Lytechinus pictus: one gene and its partner. The protein of the gene in region 1 purifies or fractionates together with the protein of each later gene. This does not show direct contact. Links are inferred from orthologs where the notes say so. Each region holds a gene or a part of one and is shown in the gene's direction. Other genes may lie near its edges.

The links. Proteins that work in one complex are often made in the same cells at the same time.
Region 2: the proteins of cytosolic iron-sulfur assembly component 2A-like (region 1) and cytosolic Fe-S cluster assembly factor narfl-like purify together in Homo sapiens (affinity purification with mass spectrometry; 4 studies listed by BioGRID and IntAct, with this or other methods). This does not show direct contact. The link is inferred for Lytechinus pictus from reciprocal best matches to the Homo sapiens genes CIAO2A and CIAO3.

What each region holds. Positions count from the first base shown.
Region 1 is NC_087249.1:9,756,788-9,763,750, reverse strand, and holds the start of cytosolic iron-sulfur assembly component 2A-like, read left to right. Parts: upstream 1-3,948; 5' UTR 3,949-3,988; intron 3,989-6,963. UniProt on the Homo sapiens protein: Component of the cytosolic iron-sulfur protein assembly (CIA) complex, a multiprotein complex that mediates the incorporation of iron-sulfur cluster into extramitochondrial Fe/S proteins.
Region 2 is NC_087254.1:35,013,117-35,020,184, forward strand, and holds the start of cytosolic Fe-S cluster assembly factor narfl-like, read left to right. Parts: upstream 1-4,055; 5' UTR 4,056-4,311; coding exon 4,312-4,374; intron 4,375-6,619; coding exon 6,620-6,712; intron 6,713-6,988; coding exon 6,989-7,068. Other genes in the region: cytochrome b-245 chaperone 1-like, read right to left, coding at 1,224-1,314, 2,775-2,890, 3,267-3,354.

The sequences.
Region 1 (6,963 bases):
ATGAATGCAGTCTTCTCCCGATCTTGTTCTGACATCTCTACTTGCCAGTAACCACTTTGCAGATCGAGAGTTGAGAACCATTTTGATCCAGACAATCTGTCAAATGAATCATCAATACGTGGGAGTGGAAACGCATCTTTGGTGGTCACATCATTCAGCTTCCTGAAGTCAACGCAGAACCGGGTAGAACCGTCCTTCTTCTTGACTAACACGATTGGTGAAGCCCACGGGCTTTCAGACGGTTCAATCACACCACGTCTTGTCATATCTTCAATTTGTGCCGATTCTTCATGTCTTTGATGGACAGGTAATCTCCTTGCTCTCTGTCGAATAGGAGGAAATGTCCCCGTTTCAATCTGGTGCTTCACTACATCTGTTCTCCCCAGGTCATCTTTACCTCTGGAGAAAACCTCCGAGTGCTTGCAAAGGAGCTTACTCAACTTCACCCTCTCGTCCTTGTTAATAAGTTGTGCGCTGTGTTTCCATGTGTCTTGCAAATGTTCTGGTATCTTCATTCCATCAACAGTTATGTACGGAGTCTTGTCGGTCTTAGAAGGGTTGTCTCCGGAGACAGTTTCCTGTGTAACTACCTCAGCTTTCTGACATTGACCAACGGTGGTCCCTTTGTAAAACTTGACAGGTTGGTTGGTTACATTGATGACTCTCACTGGTATTGTCTTGGCGCCCGGCCTCATCACTGCCGCATCAACTAGAACACTTCCTGAGCCAGTCCACTTAGACGAAGGTTCCAGGATTACGTCAGTGAATGCCAAATTGTCTTCCATTTGACCCTTGATAACTTGTCCAGTGAGGGGTGGTAGGGTGACGGTATCACTCACAGTGACTCTGCAACAAGCAGGCGGCCCTTCAAAGCTATGGCAAGGGACCTTTACACCATCTACCCACATTTCCCGACGACCAAAATCAACTTTGCATTTCCAGTCCTCAAGGCAATCAAGACCAAGAATTCCATCTTCTTTTACGTCTGCAAACCAAACTAGTTTCCTACGTAACTTCCCTCCTAGACACATGTTCAGTTCTCCTTTACCCTTGAAGGGAATACTGTGCACATCACTCGCAGTAGTCATTTTAACACCTATGTCTCTCTCAAGGAGCTCATCACATCCGATGAGTGAGGCAACACTTGTCTTCATGACAGAAACTGAAGCACCGCAATCTACCAGCATCCGGACTGTGTGGTCACCAATCATGACATCAACAAAAAGACCAATATCTCCTGACCGAGCTGATCTAACAGGCATATATCGAGCTTCCTCGATTCTTGTCCCATTGGGCCTTTTGGGAATTTCTACCGGCTCTCGACCCTTAAAGTCGGTAGGTTCTAGTTTTCCTGTTGCTTGCTGTTTCCTTCTGTCATTGCAGGACAATTAGCCTTGAAGTGCCCTTCGCTCCCGCAATTCCAGCATGTAGCTTCTTTGTTTTTTTCTGCGAAGGATTTGGTTCTTGATTGGGATCTGTAACCTTTCGACCTATCCTTGGACATATCTGCCATGTCTTTTCTCAACTGGGTGACAGTCAACTGCAGTTCTTTCACCAATGTCTCCAGTTGATGTTCAGTTGGCTCTTTTTCTTCCTCGGTCTCTGCATTCAGAGTCCGAACTTGTCTGTAGTTTACTCGCATTGCTTCTGTAGTCTTGAGCTCAGAGATCCTCGCTGCAACAACAAGTGCATCGTCGATTGTTTCACACTGGGCTTTCATAACCTCAAAGCGAACTTCAGCATCCTTCAGAGCATCAACGAAACTATCCTTAGCTAGTGTCCTTCTTGTATCCTCAGATGCAACAGGATATACCTTCCTGATCAGACACTTTACACTATGAGCCAATTCTGTCAGGGTTTCTCCCGCTCCCTGCCTCCTGTTCTTGAGCTTCAAACGGTTTAACTCTGCTTGACCTCTTGATGCATAACGGGTAGTCAAGGCGGCTACTAGAAACTCATAATTCACTCTCTGTGATGGTGACAGTTCCATTAGAATCTCCTGAGCACCACCACGCAGACTTGCTGCCAGAAATACAGCCTTCTCTCGATTGTTCCAAGCGTTAATATCTGCTGCTATTTCAAAATGACTTAAATAGCTCTCAAAAACTTCCTTTCCTGTGAATGTGCCTGGCTCATACACTGGCTTTCTGATTGTCCTGTCAGGTGGGCGCACAGATACAATAGGCCTGCCTATCCTCTGAGGCAAGTATTCATGATCCATGGCCGAGTATTCAGGTTGTCTCCTTTCTTTTCCTGCACACTGTGCGTCGTAGTTTAGGTGATCAAATGAACGCAGAATGCGTGCGCGATGCGAATCTAGGGCCTCTCCTTCCCGATAGTTCCAATCGCCTTGTGCGTCTGGGCGTTCGCTGCCTTGAGATCGCAATGAGTGTGCAATGTCTGCTATCAAACCATTGTGACAACTACTAACGCTTCTTGCGTTGCGATAGTCGTTGTCGAATATATGTGCCCTGTGCATGGGGCCTGGGATCGACGCATCATTGCGTCCTGTCAAAACGCTTCGCGCGTTGCGGCCTTCGTTGCTCAACGAACGCACTGTGTGTGTGTTATCAAGGGTCATAGCCCTACTGCGTGCTCTCGGAACGCCTTGTGCGTTGTAGCCATCGTCGCTCAACGAACGCACTGTGTGTGCGTTATCAGGGGTCGTTGCCCTATTGTGTTCTCTCGAAACGCATTGTGCGTTGCGGCTTTCGTTGCTCAACGAACGCACCATGTGTGCGTTATCAGGGGTCGTCGCCCTATTGCGTTCTCTCAAAACGCCTTGTGCGTTGAGGCCTTCGTCGCTGACCGAACGCACCGCGTGCGTACTTTCAGAGATCAGCTCCTCACCATGCCCAATCACAACGCTTCCTGCGTCGCGGTTTTCGTTGCTTAACACGCACGCTTCGTGCGTAGTGTCAGGAAAAATCTCTTTGTTTGGTCCGTCCATAACGCTCTGTGCGTCGTAGCTCCTGTTGCCCAACGCCGAACGCAGTGTGTGCGTGTTGTTTGAAATCTGCTCCTCCCTGTGTCCGCTCATAACACCTCGTGCGTTATATTCGTTGCCCAACGAACGCACCTGGCGAGCGTCCTCCACCATTAACGCATCATACAATCTACTACCGACGCGTCGTGCGTCCCCATAGGCTGCGTGCTGTGGAAAGCTTCGCACGTGGTCTGACACGTGGTATTCATCTACCGTGACAAATGATGCTCCTTCCTCCGGTTGAATTGTTCCCAAACCATAAGGGACAGTTTCATTAGCATGAATAGGGTGTATTCTCGATTCTGAGATTGATGTGGGTTCTGTGGGTTCCATAATTCGTCTAGAATTATCCCGCGACTGCCACCAATGTAACGCTCCCCACACTCAAATCTCGCCAAATCTTCTTCTCCGTGTGCTTCAATGTAGCTCTCACTGAACTCACGTATACGTCAATCACACACCATTGATTCACGCTAAAATAAGAATCCTTCTGTGATGCCGTTCATTCACATTAACAACATTTATTTAGTAAGTATTCAACAATCCAATCATGAACAATAATAACTGATTATATAGGGCAATTTACCGATTAATCTGGATTACAATTCTTGTATCTCTCCCGATCTTCTATCTGTCTTCCGTTCGTTTCCTCTTCGTATTTTTCTCCTTTCTGCGCCCTCTACGTTAGAACCTTCAGGCGCTACAATACGATACGCAATACACTACATGGGTTTGCTATTGATGTTTTAGTGGTCGAGGGGAGGCCCTTATTTCCTACTTTTTAGCAAGACATGACTAAAAATATATACAACAGAGCATAGAATTAATCATTAAATTTGAATGTATGTCAACAGAATATACTAAGATAACAGGATTGACAAGATTTAAGTGAATATTTACAACTTTAGGCCGGAGCTCCCAGAAGTTACGTCCGACGGTGGCGATGGCGCCCTCTCTCTTCAAGTCTGTCACTGAGAAAGTCATGGATAGAAATTGAAAAGTGTAAGGGATTTTAGAATTTATAGTAATTATGAAGACTCTCACGTTAATATATCTGGACTTTGATTGGGGAATGATCGATAGCCGCTACGAATACTTTTCTTAAATCTTAGTCCCATTCATTGAAAAAGACGTTGGGGCTTTTTTATACCAGTATACTAGATGTTGAGTCACACTAAGTAACACTAACAGTGGCAGTGCTTCGATAGACCTTATCGCAAATAGATTCACGCAAAGGATCATGGGATCGAAAAGGGAGCAATAGCGCCGCCATTGTCCGGATGCTACCATGCGAACGCAAGCAGCCGACAATAAAGTGTACGATTTCCATTTAATGTATCAAAATTGAAAATACGATCGACGCCTGCAGGCAACAACAACATTTTGCCACTCACACGTATTGCGAGGTTGGCATTAGTATAAACCTCGACATTTTGCTAACTTCCAGTAAACGCCTCGTCATATTTGTTCCAGAGTCTAACATCACTTTTCTTCTTAATTATGGGTGACAGAGATGGATGTGCTGTCTATAGCTGCAAGAATTACCACAGATCTTATGAAGACAAGTGCAATTTTATTTAATTTTCGCGCACTGTCTCAGTGTCTGTGCGTATTCTGAGCTGTGCAAAGTGCGCTTGTAATGTATGCACGGACTGCGGCTGCCAATGCGGGCACTCTCGGCCCAGCTCAGGGACAGTGTACGTCGGCGAGGCAGTGGAGGAAAGTCCCGGAATTCCAAGGAAAATAATAAAATGATGATCAATAAAACAATCTCTGCAATACTAGATTTGATTACTTTATTCTAGTTATATATTTTAGTAATATATCAATCGATTGTCAAGAATACATGTTTCATGAATAATTATCTCAATCATGATTTTATTCAGATATTAACCAAGCTGTGTTTTCTTTTTCTCTCCACAGATACACAATTATTGCATGTAATTCAGGATCATGGCCGTTTTTTTTATTAGTGGCCTGGTCCCAAGATTTGATAATACTGCAAATACAAAATAATGAATTAAATATTTAAAAAATGTGAGAATAGATGAAAGTTGAGAGAAAAATAAGTAGAAAAAAAATGAAATGAAAAAGGTGATCTGATGTGAGAGAAGTAATTAGTGACTGAATGCGATGAAATTAAATGAAGATGGAAATTTTGAAATAATATTTGTTTTATTAAAACAATGGAATATACATCATTTATATAAATTAAATATCCATCAGCTGCTTAATTTCAGACAGACAAAATAAAATTACAGAGAGGTTAGAGGGAGACCATGAAGAATACTAGGGCCTATACGGCATCCAAAAATGTTTTAAATACAGGGATTTATTTAATCTTTATGCTGCATGTCATAGGTCTATTTATATGTATTTCTTAATATGTATATTATATATATACATTTATACTCACTAGCTCACTAGACAGTGTACGTCGGCGAGGCAGTGGAGGAAAGTCCCGGAATTCCAAGGAAAATAATAAAATGATGATCAATAAAACAATCTCTGCAATACTAGATTTGATTACTTTATTCTAGTTATATATTTTAGTAATATATCAATCGATTGTCAAGAATACATGTTTCATGAATAATTATCTCAATCATGATTTTATTCAGATATTAACCAAGCTGTGTTTTCTTTTTCTCTCCACAGATACACAATTATTGCATGTAATTCAGGATCATGGCCGTTTTTTTTATTAGTGGCCTGGTCCCAAGATTTGATAATACTGCAAATACAAAATAATGAATTAAATATTTAAAAAATGTGAGAATAGATGAAAGTTGAGAGAAAAATAAGTAGAAAAAAAATGAAATGAAAAAGGTGATCTGATGTGAGAGAAGTAATTAGTGACTGAATGCGATGAAATTAAATGAAGATGGAAATTTTGAAATAATATTTGTTTTATTAAAACAATGGAATATACATCATTTATATAAATTAAATATCCATCAGCTGCTTAATTTCAGACAGACAAAATAAAATTACAGAGAGGTTAGAGGGAGACCATGAAGAATACTAGGGCCTATACGGCATCCAAAAATGTTTTAAATACAGGGATTTATTTAATCTTTATGCTGCATGTCATAGGCCTATTTATATGTATTTCTTAATATGTATATTATATATATACATTTATACTCACTAGCTTATTTTTAATATACTTGATATTTGGTCTCGCGGCCATTCGATCCTCAAGTCTCACCCCCCCCCCTCTAGTACTAGATCTTGTAATGATCAAACTCAAAAGCCTGATTTTTAAGGACTATATTTCCTCCAAAATAACAAAAACTTGCTAAATCTACTAGTTATGGAGATAAGATATAATTATTATGATCTACATTATGATTCTCATCAATATTCTTTAATTGAAAAAAATAGCCTCAGGCTCTCTCCGGATCGCCGACGTGCTCTTTTCTAAAGTCGATAGCATTGACCAGCAATCACCATGCTCACTTTTCCCACAAAATCTTCCCAAATTTAGCCCCAGAAAACTTGGAAAATTCGGTGAGCATTGAGTTCATACTTTCGCTGTGCAATCATGTTACAAAGATTGTTCTATAAATCCACATTCAAGTATCCAAAATAATTTCAATACTAAGAAATCAAACTTTTAAAAAAGCCTGGATTTTGAGTGACACTACACAAAACATATGGCGTTGTATGGCTTCCCGAAAGCCAATTTCGCGTTTGCTCCCTTTTCATTCCCGTGATCCTTTGCGGTGACATACGCCCTCACGCGACGAACGCTATTTGCGAAGTTCAGTCTAGTTTTAATACTTTAATGGCTGGAGGCATCGGGACCACATTTTTGGGCTGAATTTGGTGTATCTATTTTAGCATATAAGGTTAATACTGTTATGTTTGACCACATTGGTACTCAGAGTAGAAGTGACAGTAGACTCTATAAACTTTTTACTATAGACAGCTGGCAGCCGTCTGTTTCGAGGAGTTTTTTTAACATTTAAAAA
Region 2 (7,068 bases), on another chromosome or scaffold:
GATCCAGGGGCCTGCAAACAGAAAGAATTGCAATGAAACGAACTTGTTTTTCATCCAATCAGAAAAGCAGATTGATGAGTTGCATTTTTTTATTTCTGAGTTGCTTTTACACTATACAACTTTTTCTGCAACAAGCTTTCTGGAAAAAAAATTATCCCAAACTATAAAGCATTCTGATGCATGGAATTAACATGTCTAACATCTCTGCTTCTCAGAAAATTGCATGATATTTGGTATTATTATATCCCCATTCCTCAAGTGTTTCTTTTCCTTCCTATCAACTCTAAATCTGACACTCCATAAAGTTGCTGATGCTTCTTGATAAGATTAGACTCAGAAATTAACCTGAGCTTCTATTACCATTCTTGCGAAAGCAGGTGTTTGTCCAAAATGGGCATATGGGCTATTCCACGGTTACCCACGTTACATTTCGAGACACCTTGACTCATACTTGGAGCTGTAACTCCATTATTATTGATAGGAACTAAACATCTCTTTATCACAACATAGTACGCAGTCTGACTATCCTTTGTATAAAAACAAAACTTGGGAAATTTCATTATGCTCCTGGCAAATCTTTGAAATGTGTGGGTTACTCATGTTACATGATTTGGACATGCATAAAATGAAAAGTGGACATAAGTGAAAAGTGTCCTCATACAAGGCTTTTATGAAAGTTGATTATATCCATTTAGAAGTATATTAGGGAGACAAATTTGTATATAATTCAAAAAATAAAGAACACATGGTTTTTACTAGGGGTGCAGATAAAGTGGTTACTCACGTTACGGTTCAGATGGGCTATATGTACAAAGACACATTGAGCTCATGTCCACCAACCTATGGAATTGCCCATATGCATACACTGTAATCTTTCAGAAATTATCCTGAACAAAACTTAAATGATGCTTAGGACGTACTTTAATGTTTTGGGGATGTAGAAAGTAACATATTTGACAGAAAAATATCATCTTATTTAAAAGTGCATTGCTCTTTTCCATATTGTCAATATTTTTCAAATCGAGTCCCAGATTGCATAATACATGTAGGTGTTTGTAAATGGTTCAGAACCCCAGAGTCCTGTTTCATAAAGATTAGTTGTATGCATAATTCCTATGATGTTTACTATCAGCCAATCAAATTGAGTGATTTCAGTAGCTTTAAACTGTTATTATTATTAAAAAATTTATGAAACAGACCCCAGAATTGTTTGGATTACTTACCTTGCCGCTGATTTTCTTTCGGTCTAAGGATCTTCTCAATCAAACTAAACCTCTTCAGAAGAATGTCACCATCCTTTTCAATGATGCATTCCTGATGATGAAGAAGAATTAAAATACAAAGAAAATTTCAATCAGAAAATAAGAGGAATTTAAAATGAGCATGGCTAATTTTTATCAAACATTGTGTCTTCTGGTTCTATAACATATTGTTTTGCTCTAGCATTACTCCGATGAGTGCATGTTGAAAAGCTTTAGTATGTCAGTTTTTAAGGCTATTTTATGATTTTGCAGTACCAAACAATTATTTATAAACATAGAGGGGAAAGATATATATGAATGGTAATAATTGAACACAATAGGCAAGATACCTGTAACTCAAATAACACGCAAGCTAAATGCAAAAACATTGCTAATGACTACAATAAGAGAGCACTTTCATTTTCAGCTAAATAATGTTATTTCTCAATGGAACTCATTATCTCTCTAATCAATGTGCACAAGAGATTCAATTACTGAATTATGAGGACTTTCATATTTCAGTTCATCAAAAAAAAAAACTACAGGTGGCGCTATTGCACCTGTAAAAAACAACAAAATTAATCACAGGAGTATAGTTTCATGTACATGCAACTTCAGTAGACTTTATTTACAGTTATTGCATGAAAAAAATCATTAAATAACCCGAAATACTGTGCAAGTCTAAAAAAAAATTGACACCCATACAAATCCCCAATTTAAGGTAAAAATATGTCATGAACACATTTTATTATTGAACATAAAATTTGGATTAGAGAATGCAGCACCCAATGAAATGAATTCCCTTTTCTTTTCTTTTTTTTGAGGCGGTCTGGGTACTGTATTCATGCTACTCTTTAATTTGCCAAATTTGTCAAAAATGAATGACATAACCAAAATCATCAATTTTAACAGCCATTGGTCATGTTGTACATTGAAGTCCTACAAGTAGTTAATGGCCAAAGAAGCAATATAATATTTTGAAAGTGATTCCCAGGGGAGGGCACTGTCATTACAAGATGAACAGCATGCTCACACATGGACTCACAAAATTAATCCTAAACAAATAAACAAGTAATCTTGATCTTGATTTTGTCAACTTTCCCCACCCTAAATGATGCCTCATATATATTTTTTAATGACAGGGTGAAGTATATGGCCTTTGCATTTAGTTTGTACACCTTTCCCTGATCTGGCAATTTTGATACCCTTTTTTACTGTCCACATGTACATGTTTCATCTGTGAAAACAACCTTCTTTAATGACTTTGTGTATGAAAACATTAAAAAAATAAAAATGTGTGCATGTTGGTATGAAATCATGCTTGAGGCATTTCCAGTTATTGAATTATGAAATTTAATAACTTAAAGTAAAAGAGCAATGCATCTAAATGCCTTGCTCAAACCAAGGTGCCACAGTCAGGAATTGAACCATTGACTTTAGAACCAGGAATCTAGTAATTGACTTCTTGACCACAGCGTGGTTGGTGTCCATGTGTAATTGCGGTGGTCCCCTGGGAACTGATGATATAATTACCTCCCAGTCATCTAGAGAGCATATTGCCACAAATCCACAGCAGAAGAGACAGAATGATTTCCACAGCCAGTCATCATTTGAGAAGATTACCATCCCACAACCTATAGCAAGGATACCTGAAAAATATAAGATAAATTGATATAGTTCCTTGTGTTATACAGTTTCTCAACTAATTAAAGTAAACAGGTTAATCTCTGTCTTTTCTGACAGCCATGTTTTGCACTCTGGAAATCACTTTCTGTGCATGTATGATGCCTAATATTCTTCTTATATTTCAAATTTTATCATCAACATGATCAATTTATTTTTATATGAAATTGCCAGATCAGTAATAATAAAAATGATCATAGACAGTCAAAGAATGATAGAAGCAAGAACAATAAAAAAAAGAATAACTCCTCTTTAAAATACTCATTAAAAAATCAAAAGCAAAGCTCAATTTGAGAATGTATACAAGTTTTCCAATAAAATATTCTGTCTAGATCCACTCACCAAAAAATGTACTCCAAGCTCGAAACCCAGGCGATCTCGCCAGGTGCACCATCTTTTCATTTCGAGCGGCAACCGACATGTAGACCATCTTGAACTTGGAAGTTCAGTTCAGTTGAACAAACTTGTGTTATGATGAAATACAATACAGAAAGTACACTTGATATATTGCAAGGAAATAGACTGCTGTTGATGAGTATCAATCATTAATGTGCCTCAGGCTCAGTACCACTGGTACTAGTATATGCTATAAATGGGTAAGTCACTTCCTTGTTCCTGTTCAATTCAGTATTGTCTATCTCAGTATCTGCATGTAAGTATCCTAATCAAAATGTCAAATGATCCAGCCAGGCAGTTCAGCCTTTCTTCACTCCTTCTTCGGCCTCGCGCCTCTGACTTCAACAAGCAAGCACAGACTAGACTAACAAAGGATTAGCAGCATCTTCTCTTATTTCCTTGTTCCTGTGATGTGAGTTTGACCCGGAATATAACAAGTTGGCATGCCAACAAGTTAGAGTTAGTTTTGAAAACAAAGCTTTGAAAACAAAGAAAAGGGATTAACCGAGTACCGTGAGATGCAAGCAAAAAGATGAAGAGCTAGCTACAAGAGGTGGATCAATTTTGCAAAGGGGGAATTCCCTTTTCTTTATAAGGATCTATTCCAGCGTAACTCATTAAATCACAGTTTTAAATATATTTCAATCTATTATCTATAAATGAATATTTTAAAAGCATTTATTATTATATAAAAATATTTTAAGTCCAAAATTTGACGGTTTATTGAACATTTTTAGAGCAAGATTGAAAATGCTATCTGCCTCGTACGTCCTTACCCCTCCTCATTTCTTTTTCGTCGGATGTCAGTCCGGCGCCCCTTCAACTCACCGATTCTCGATATGCATACTAGCCGGACCGCTGGCGGAGCTAAAGAGGCAGATACCGAAGGGCTTTGAGCTGCTGCACGGAGAGATGCGAGAGCCGAGCTCGAGACGCTCTGACTGTGACTTTGCATGTTTTGTTTTGTGTGTGAAACGTACTGATCCTGGTCATGGCGCACTTTAGTGGAGCACTGAAGCTTGCTGATCTTGATGATTTTATCACTCCTTCGCAGGTAAAATTTGTCTTTGACTTTGTCAGTGTGACTTGAGACTTTTTTTAATTATTTTGAGTGAGAGGGAGAGATATGACAATTCAATTGACATGATCATTGACAATGTCAATGTCAATGACATTAAGATGATTGACACTTGTCTTTAGTTGTATATAATGGTGGTCCCCAAGTCTGCGCACCTAACGATTTGAGTCAAGATTTTACATGTATTTCTTTTTATTTCACAAAATCTTTCTGTTAATAATGTTCATTATTATCATGAGTAAATGTACCAAATATCTCACGATAATTTGAAAGAAATATGAGATTTTCTTGGAAAAAAACCTTGGGCAGTCATTTTAAAATTGTAAAAAAAAGTGGTACCCCATGTCTGCGCACCCATTCACTTTGCACACGATTCGGATATTTTGATGAGAAAGGCTGCATTTTGAGGACGCCACATGAAATGCCCAAATTTCATTATTTTTCCACCATTTTGAGTCGGATTTTTGTCTATGTGTTGCATGTGTGAAGTTTGTGTTCGTTTCGTATCTTCTTTTACTAGAATTGCGCAGATACGCGTATGCGCAGACAAGGGAGACTGCGCAGACTTGGGGGAACTTGCCATAATAACTTGTGTCAGCTTGTGTTTGGACTTTTAGTGAGCTTGAGAGGTCTACATTTGAGATTATTTTAGATCTTTGATATTTCTTTGTCTTTCCGTATGCATTTAGTAATAACTGTGGGATGATATCAATCAGTGGGAGGCAAAGTTTGTGAAAAAAAATTGGGGCGTTGCAAGAAACTTAACTGTTACAAGTTACGTCTATATGAGTAACATGATGAAGAGGGGGGAACATGTCTGTGCACCTAACATTAACAATTTAAAGGAGAATGAAACTCTTGGAGCAAGTTAGCTTTTGTGAAAGCAGAAAAATCAAAGAATAAGATCAACAAAACTTTGAGTAAAATAGGACTAGCAATAAAAGAGTTATGAGCATTTGAATGTCGAGATCACTAATGCTATGGAGATCCTCCCATTGGCAATGCGACCAAGATCTGTGATGTCACACACGTACAACTCTCCCATTTGGACACTGAAAATATACCCCAAAACATCTCTTTTTGCTCATTCTAATCATATGACAAACGATTCATCAATGATATAATGTTGTGAAACCTCTGTACTTGTCATATCATAAAGAGAACACCTCACCTTGTGATAGACTCTATAAAAGTGAGAATATAAGTGAAATAAGTACTAAAGTAATAAGGGAGTTGTACGTGTGTGATATCACAGATCTTGGTCGCATTGCCGTTGTGAGGATCTACATGGCACTAGTGATCTCAATATTCGAATGCTCATAACTTTCTTATTATTCATTCAATCTTCCTCAAACTTTCAACAGTATGTTTCTTTGATTTTTCACTTTGATATGGATTCAGCTGGTTTCAAGGGTTTCATTCTCCTTTAAATTAAGATAATTTTTTTTTCACAAAAGTGTGCCAAAAATCTCACAAAAATTTGAGAGAAATATATGATTTTCTTGGTTGGAAAAAAGCACGGCCAGACATTTTCAGATCGAACAAAAAAAAAAGATATTGTGCCCATGTCTGCGACTGCGCATGCGCCCATTCACTTTATACACGATTCAGGGATTTTGATGAGAAAGGCTGTCTTTTTAGGTCGGCACATAAAATGCACAAAATTCATTATTTTCCACCATTTTGAGTAAGATTTTTAAGGAATATCTTTCTATGACTATGTATTGCATCTGTAAAGTTTGTGGTTGTAGTGTATCTTTTTACTAGAATCACACAGATACGCGTGTGCGCAAAAGGGGCACTGTGCAGACGTAGAGGACCTTAACTTGCATAACTTCCATTCTTAAATACTTTGTTTTATAGAGAGAGAGCTTTTTCTAGAATGTGCTTAATAAATCAATCTTTATTACGGGTATTATTATTAGACTATTGTTATTGTTACTATTAATATCATTATTAATATTATTGTATACCTAAGTCAATTGTGGGTCCCAAAATCAATAATAATAAAAATTCATTGAAAATTTGCACTCATTTACTGTTCAGTTTGCTTTAGCTACAGGAAGTTCAACTTGATTTGATATACCGGTAGGTCTAGTTATAATTGATCTAGATCAATTGTAAATTTGCCATTGATTGTAATTATTTTCTTCAAACACCCTTTAAGTCTTATTTCTGTCTGTCTCGATTTTTTATGAAATTTATGTATTTTTATCCCCAGGAATGTATAAAACCAGTCAAGGTGGAAAAAGTGGCGGGTAAACCAGGAGCTATACGGATTGAAGACGATGGCAGCTATTTCCAACTAGATGACGTAAGATTTATTCAGAACATATTGATTTCAGGGCGTACAAGCCATGAAATTAAACAACCCAAAACTAGTGCTTGTAACAATTCTGACTATATTTTTCGATATTCTTTTAATTGTTTTTGATTGGTCTAGACATTAAATAAATAATGTATAAATTAGCAGTTTATGTTTAAGAATAATCAGCACACATTGACTTATTTTGGCATTCTTTAACATTGGTTCATGTAATGTGCTGTTAGGCAAGGCTACCATCATATGATGTGTCATTTTACCATACAGTATGGAGGGTCGAGGAAATTGGAGAAGGCTCAGATAACATTGAATGACTGTCTGGCTTGTAGTGGTTGCATCACATCAGC